2 linked regions of the Schizosaccharomyces pombe genome follow. Changing the gene in region 2 together with the main gene of any one other region gives a genetic interaction. Each region holds a gene or a part of one and is shown on either strand. Other genes may lie near its edges.

What was found.
Region 1: mutations in rnh1 (region 2) and rnh201 are lethal when combined (synthetic lethality), as found in Schizosaccharomyces pombe (2 studies listed by BioGRID, with this or other methods).

The regions. Positions count from the first base shown.
Region 1 is NC_003424.3:2,252,479-2,256,493, reverse strand, and holds rnh201 (ribonuclease H2 complex subunit Rnh201), read right to left. Parts: upstream 1,999-4,015; 5' UTR 1,907-1,998; coding exon 926-1,906; 3' UTR 638-925; downstream 1-637. Other genes in the region: adenylate kinase Adk1, read right to left, coding at 1-559; alp11 (tubulin-specific chaperone cofactor B), read right to left, coding at 2,322-3,026; ubiquitin ligase Btb3, read left to right, coding at 3,305-3,513, 3,582-3,673, 3,724-4,015. UniProt on the Schizosaccharomyces pombe protein: Endonuclease that specifically degrades the RNA of RNA-DNA hybrids. Participates in DNA replication.
Region 2 is NC_003423.3:2,747,861-2,751,973, reverse strand, and holds rnh1 (ribonuclease H Rnh1), read left to right. Parts: upstream 1-1,951; 5' UTR 1,952-2,204; coding exon 2,205-2,272; exon of another isoform or gene 2,273-2,456; coding exon 2,457-3,183; 3' UTR 3,184-3,485; downstream 3,486-4,113. Other genes in the region: transcription factor TFIIIC subunit Sfc3, read right to left, coding at 1-1,059; hen1 (S-adenosylmethionine-dependent methyltransferase), read left to right, coding at 3,647-4,113. UniProt on the Schizosaccharomyces pombe protein: Endonuclease that specifically degrades the RNA of RNA-DNA hybrids.

The sequences.
Region 1 (4,015 bases), on a different chromosome or scaffold from region 2:
CGACAGGAGTAGTTTGTTCGTGATAAGTGACCAAACGCTTGCGCAAAGCATCGGCGTTATCATCGGAACGTTGGATAAGAGGCTCGCCAGTAACATCGTCTTTCATAGGAACTTTAGGAGGATTAAATTCCAAGTGGTAGCTACGGCCAGATCCGGGATGGACGAGACGACCAGTGATACGTCTGACCAAAAGTTCATCATCAACTTGTAACTCAAGGACAGTATTCAAGTCAAGTTTGAGTTCATCAAGAAGAGCGGTAAGCTTTTCAGCTTGGACGACAGTACGGGGGAAACCGTCCAGGATGAAGCCGTTCTTGCACTCAGGATTGTTGAGGATCTCATCCTTGATCATACCAGTGACAATGTCATCGCTGACAAGACCACCCTGATCCATGATCTTCTTAGCTTCTTTACCGAGCTCAGTTTGACGAGCTACTTGAGAGCGCAACATGTCACCAGTAGCAAGATGGGCGATGCCATATTTCTTCTGAATGTTGGGGGCCTGAGTGCCTTTTCCAGCACCTGGAGGTCCAACTAAAATAAGTCTCATGCCAGCCATATTTGATCAAATTGGGTATCTATGCAAAAAAAAAACGAGATTCCACAACAAAGCGGTATTTGGTAGTAGTCTAAAATCGGACTGAGAAGTAAAAGAAGACCACCTAATTTTTATAATAGCGAACTTTAACAAGTCGTTATATTATTGTTGGTGCTAAACCAAACTCAATAAACAGAGCAGAAGCCTGGGGTAAATAGAACAATAAATTTATATTATTTTTATCTATAACCAAATGCTAATAAAGGTTTTCTACGTAGCTCCAAAAGCACGAAGCAATGCAATTAATGATTTTAAGCATAAATGTAAATTCGTATCACTCTCACAATTAGTCTTAGGCAAAAGTAGTGACAGAGTATAGTAACTAAACTAAAAATAAAACTCTGATCCAAACCACGAACGAGAAGCCGGATTCGGTTTCTTTTTCTGTGTAAAGTTCAAAGTAGGAGTATCGTCATCTTCGTGCCAATCTATTTCAATCGAAGACTGTGATTTGGAAGGTAATTCTAGTAAATCCTTAGCGGTTTTCCATGAATATCTAACTATGTCTCCCTTCCATCCGAAAATTTTATCGACATTTACTTTTAACCACTCGGTAGTTCGAGCGTCAGAAGAATATCCAGAACCCCAGTTCTCAGTTCGAATACTTTCACGAGCGCATTCCAGTTGAATATCTCTAGTAACTTTAGCACAGATAGAAGCTAAACTCACGATGGGAAAAAGGGAATCTGCTTTTTTAGTGACAGTGACTTTCGCTTGAGGAAAATGAGCTTGTAATTTTTCCTGGTATGATATTGGAGGTCCTACTGTATCCACGTAAATCTCTGTAACATTTATTCCTGATTCATAAACTTTTTTTATTAAGTCAATTGTCGTATCATGTGCTTGAAGATTTAAATTATACTTGTTCCGGTACCTCAGCATTCCTGCAGCTAATTCTCTTGCGGAAATAGACATAGTAGACCATCCAACGTTTTTTCCTAGCTCGTTAGATTTGTTGCAAATTAATTTCAGAAGTTCCTCTCGCTTTAAGGAGGCCAAAGTTTTACTGTCAGCAAACCCATAGTTGGTCAAATCGAAATCGACTGGACAGTAAGCGACAGCATATACCATAGGTCCTAAGACAGGGCCTCTACCAGCTTCATCTACTCCTAATCGATATGGCTGACTCTTGGAAATATCATCAGTGACTGTTGAATGATAGTAATTCGATTTTGCGGGATTCGATTTATTAACTGAAGGTGGTAAAAAAGTTATTGAAGAATTTTGGTCTTCTTGTAGCTCATTTTCTGAAGAGTTATTGTCACTGACTAGTTCTTCTGGTTCCCATGCATCGTGATCATCTTTCATGTTGAGATTGCTGCTTTGTATCTTTTAAAGAATTATCAGAGTACTTCTAATATTTGGCTCAAAAACTGAATAAAAAAATAAATAAAGGGGTTGAAGGAATGCGCAAATAGGCCTAACACAGTTTTCTTTCGTTCGTGGTTTTAATTAGCGGTACTACGGTAAAACGATGTAAATAAAAAAAAAAGAAAAGCCAGACAAACAATTCATTACAGTTATAATGCTTTCTTTGATTGAGTAAAAATATTTTAATTGAGAAATGACTAAACTAAATGATTTACTTTTTAGACTTTCATTTTTTTAGAAAATTGTTCATTATCTTAAGCGAGTCATCTCCTAGCAATCGAAGCCTGCATACAAGATTTAACAAAAAAAAAGGAAATCATTAACATGGAACCTTGTAAAACGAATAACAACATCAAAGACCTTCTAAAATATCTTCTGGAGGGAAGTCTCCTACTTCAACTTCAGAAGATCGAAGAAAGGATCCATGTTTATTTTTCGCATTAAAGTATCTCTTTCCGCTGACTGTCCCATCATTTTTCCCAACTGGTTCATCAAATTCGACGCCAACCCACAGATTGTCATTATTAATTTCAGGCACTAGTCCAATATAGCGAATAGTTCCATATCTCTCTCCTGCTGCACAGCACCTAGAATTTAAATTTTTTTGTAAGTCGACTAATTCACGTTTTAAAGATTCTTGTCGAGAAGCTTTACTTGCTTCAAAGTCTGGATTGAATCGTCCAAGCTGATTTCTTTTTTTCCAGGCATAGACAGAATCTGTCCTGTTCTCATACTGTTCACGAGGCATTACATATTTATCAACCTGTGAAAGATCGTCAAAGTCTAGACGCAAATGAGGAGGGCGTGTATCCTCAACGACTATAGTCCCCAGAGGCTGAAGCTTGAATTCCCCTAGGTCTAAATTCTCTTCTTCGCTAGTGAAAACGTGTCCAGGGACTGTACTGGAAGCAGGTTCATACGTAAGTTTTTGGTATTGTTCTGGTGTCCCTACGATAGGAACTAATTTGGTCTTAAGCTGACTAACAGTCCATTGTGGGTTAATCCTTCGTTCAGCATTTGCAGAGGAAGATTTAATAAAGAGAGTTATCTCATTCATGTAGCAAATAATTTTAACTTAAGATATATGATTAATGAAAACGGAAAACACAAGAATATATAAAGTGGTGGAAGACGTAGTAGTTAAATGCTGACGCCGCCTTGGTCAGTCGTTCACAAATCACATCGAACTTGAACAATTACATAGAACCCTCGTTAACCAACTACATTTCGCATATGATCAATTAAATTTTAAGTCGATAATACTGTTGAACATAAGTGCAATCTTTGCTCAGTATAACCTTTTAATCGGTTGTTAATTGTTCTTCATTTATTAAAATGGCTTCTCAAGATCAAAATACAGGGACAACACATGTCGAATTGCAAGGTGGTGAAAATTCTAAAAAGCTTTTCTCCAAGTATGACCTTTGGTCAAAGGCAATGGATGAGAAGAAGCTGTCTTCCTCACTTTTCACAGTAAATGATACCCAAGAATTTCTTGAGCTTTGTGAAGCTTGTCGGCGTGGAGATTTGGAAGTTGTCAAGAGGTATGTGCAATTTAAAAATATTGAATCGATAAACAATTTTAACTGCAATTGCTAAATTCAAAATCCAGTTTGGTCGAAAACTATAACACACCTATTAATCAAGTAGACCAATTTGACTACTCGCCTTTAGTCCTTGCGAGTCTTTGCGGGCATGAACCAGGTATGCTATGAATGTTTTGCTCTCAATTATTATATTTTCTCACGCTTAAGTTGTAAAATTTCTTCTTGAAAATGGTGCTTTATGCGAACGAGATACTTTTCAAGGAGAAAGATGTTTGTATGGTGCCCTTAATGATAATATTCGCCGTATGCTTCTTTCTTATGATATTACTAAAGCCATTGATGAGTCCCAACCTTATGCTAGTCACATAACTTCCTTGTTGTCGAACTCGGCTTTACATTTTACTACTGACATAGTCTTTGCCGGTCAATATGGTAGGGTTTTTGCTCATAAATTCTATTTAGCTGCCAGAAGTTCATATTTTAAATCAAAATTTTCGAA
Region 2 (4,113 bases):
TAAGACAAAACACTGGAATTCCAATGGACGAAAACGAGACCATTGGGGAAGAGTAGGTCCAACGTCGGCTAGTGGCTGCAAAAAGGAAGCATCAAATTCTTCTTTTGACGGAAGGAGTGGTTCTTCTTCCTCTAATTCATCGTCTTCTGGAATATCATCCACTTCAGTAAAATCAACGTCGTCCTCAGTTGCGTCTAAAGATGAAATGTAAGGTTTTATAAATTGTAAACAGCGAATGCAACGCTCTGGAGAGTTAGGAACAAAAGTAAGGCATTTGCGAAGGTATCCATTATTGTGTAAATATGTAACTTGTCGAGCATAATATCTTCGTTCCCAGCGACTGTGGTTTAAATTCACCATCGCACGAGCATCAACATGACGGCAAATTCCGTTACGTGAAGACTGAACAGCATCACATATATTGCTACGAATTTTTTCAGTGTTATAAATTTGCTTACCAGATACCTGAGCAACAGTTTCGTTAATTGTGCTGTTCTCTGACTCAAATCGCTTTAGAACTAGCAGAGCAGTTTGTGCTCTGCTTCGATTAATGGCAACCTTTGATATTAAAGAAGCATCTTCTAGCGCTTGAATACGACCGTAAACGCTTCGAGGCTCCTGCTTAGTCTCCTTACATAATTGGATTCTATCAACACCTTCCTGCCTATATCTAGATATGCAAGACAATAATTCAAAGGCTAAAGGTTGAATTTTTGAATCTGTCTTCGTCTTGTAAGTGAGAGTAAGCCATTGCCTGTCTTCTGAAGCGAATAAGCGTATACGAGCGCGTAACTCAATCGTGATATCTTGGTAATTCCAAGGGATTTCTTGCATTTTACTTCGTAATCCAGTGGCATCTTCATCTTCAATCCAAACCTCAATTCCATCTTCTTTTAAAATTAAAGGCCACACAAATGTTTTATAGTTATCGTCTAAATTTTGTACGATACCTTGCCGAAAAAAAAAATTTGCAGCAAATTCCCATAAACGATCTATGCTACATCCCGATGATCCATCCAAAGCAATTTCTTCTGAGCAATGCCGAATGAGTGAATCCATAAGGGCGATTCGAACGCTGGTTCTAACACTATGTACAAAAGGAAAGCGTGGTTCGAGAGGTGAAAGTTAGTGAAAATAGTGATACTTTATGAGTGTTTTTAAAATTTTGTTAAATTTTATACAGAAGAACTTAAAGACATATTTAATATACTTTAACCGATGTATTGAGTTATACGACTGCTAAATAGTATACCGACACAATAAACGACTAAATCGGTTCACATTTTAATATGCTCTTATTCAGTAAGCAGATGGTAGCTATTATGAGTATATTCTCATATGCCAACCTTGTAACCGAAATGATGGTTACATAAAGCACAGCTCTAAATGATATATACAGCTGATAAAACAAAGTAAGAAAACTTTCTCAAAACTTTTCTTTTAAATATGAATTCTGGAATATTGAAGTGAACGCTAAAGTCCGCAAAACTGAACATTTAATTAGCACTAAATTGAAAAGGGCACATGGTGGAATAGTTTACAAATTTTCTGCTACGCGCGGCAATACCCACTGCAAAAGCATAATCTTTTCTCTGACTAAAAGATTCTTTTTAGAATAACAATTGCGCAATTTGCAAACTACTCAGAGGCCAACAGAGATGAGGATTCTTTATGAAAGTATAATCTTAAAAAGGTAAAATGACTTAAACAATTATTACTAAACAAACAATACATTTTTCTGCTTGTTTGAAATTAGACTACATTAAATGAGCTAAGGACATAAAATGAGTATTCTATATTTAAGGAGCTTTTAACTAATAAAATATACTATCAATTGTGTATTAATTTTAATGTCAGGCGGTATAACAGTCGCGGAGATCTAACTAGCTTACCGTAATATAGTGTGCAGAGATTATGCAGCTAGTAAATAAGCAAACCCGTTTTATTATGTATCGTACTGCAGTAGTCCAGATATGTGACATTTCCTGATGCTCTACCATTATTAATCGTCAATTGAACTCTTTTACAAATTAATATAAATTTATAAATCCAAATCCTTCTTTTTTCTGCACTATTTTCAATAACTCATAAGACTACAGCTCAATTTGTCAACTACAAGTATTTTTGCAAAGTTTTGGGAAAAACTCCCAAGTTTTACTAAGTTTTACTATTTTAAAGCTATTTTTGAATCTTCGCATTACGAAATGGGTGGAAATAAGCGTGCATACTATGCAGTAGCGCGTGGTCGAAATACTGGTATATATAGTACATGGTAAGACTGCGTATCTCAAGAAAATGGTTTCGTTGTTAAATATAAGTTTCACGTTAAGCAAGTTTCGATACGGTCGTATGCTTTGCTTCAATTCAATCTGAATCGGTTTTTTCAAGATGATCTCTTATTAACATTTCCTTGATGGATACACCTTGTTGTTTAACAAACTCTTACTAATTTTTAGGGATGAGGCGTCGGATCAGGTGAAAGGTTATGGAGGTAATCGCTACAAGAAATTTGACAGCTATGAGGCTGCTCAGGAATTTTGCAGGACCGAAGGAAGTCGCTACTCCTCGTCTTCTGGCCCATATCGCCGCAGTACAACAAGTTATGGGTACTCTCCATATTCTTCTAGTTCCTCAAATTACTCTGCTAGACACTCCGATAAATATAGAAAGAAAATTTCTAGAAGTTATAGTACCGAAAAAGATATTGAAATATTTTCGAATGACACTCATGAAAAATCAATTGCGTGCTCGGATCGACAGGTCGTCTATGCTGACGGTTCTAGTTTGCGAAATGGGAAAAAAGGAGCTGTTGCTGGCTGTGGAGTTTTTTTCGGAAATGATGACCCAAGAAATATTTCAGTACCGTTGGCTGGGGAAGAGCAAACCAACAATCGTGCGGAATTGCAAGCCATAATCCTAGCCCTTGAAAATACATCTGGCGATTTGACCATCCGCTCTGACAGCAATTATTCCATTAAGTCACTAACCACATGGCTGCCTAAATGGAAGAAAAATGACTTTAAGACTAGCAATTCACAACCTGTAAAAAATTTGGATTTGATCAACCGCGCTTCAGATTTGATGAGTGACAGAAATGTTTCGCTAGAGTACGTGAAAGGACACAGTACCGATTACGGTAATCAACAAGCCGATATGCTTGCTCGGCGAGGAGCTTCTGAGTAAATGGTCATCTATGATGAGCGCTGTAAAAAATGGATATAGGTACATTCTTTTGAAATTTGCCGTATAATTTTCGTCTACTCTTCGCTGGTTGTATGTGCTTTTTTTGTTCTCGTTTTGCATAATGCTACATATTTTATTGTAATTAAATATCATGCTATTATAACAATTTTAAAGAGGAAATTGAAAAGTATAGATTCGGAGCTAAGATAATTTTATTATTTAACGTTGAAAATGACACTTCGCACTAGTCAACAATTCCCTTTTCAATTAAATTTGGTTCGGTGTCTTAACGGCAGTCATCGAAATCATATTGCAATGGACTTAGCAAAGAATTAATAACAATTCGCTTCGTAATGAATTTGAAAAGGCTTAAATAGTGGTTTTGAAACGAACATTCACAGTTAATAGGTAGTTATTTGACTAACGTGAAGAAAGTGTACCAAAAATACTTTGAGTTTAGACAATGGGTGTCTCTAGCTTTTACCCACCTTTGCATGTACAGCGTCGAAGGAAATTATTTAAAATACTTCAAGGAGGCTTCCCTGTGCGATCTTTGTTAGACATTGGATGTGGAGATGCTCGTTTTCTATCATATTTAGTACCTTGCAATGATCAAGTGCCTATAGAATTTCTGGCCGGTATTGATATTAACGAACAAAGTATTGAAAGAGCTACTGAGGCTTTACAGGTTAGAACCGAAGACTTTTTACAACTACGTTGGCGACCGCTACATATTGAATTATTGCTTGGTAATATTAAAGATTTTACTCATTATAAACATGTTGATGCGGTTGTAGCTTCAGAGTTTATTGAGCATTGTCAAGTTGCAGAGATTTTAGCCTTTGAAAAACTTGTTTTTGGAAACTTGAAGCCCAATGTTTGCGTAGTGTCAACTCCGAATTTTGAATTTAACACAATCTTTGAGAAACT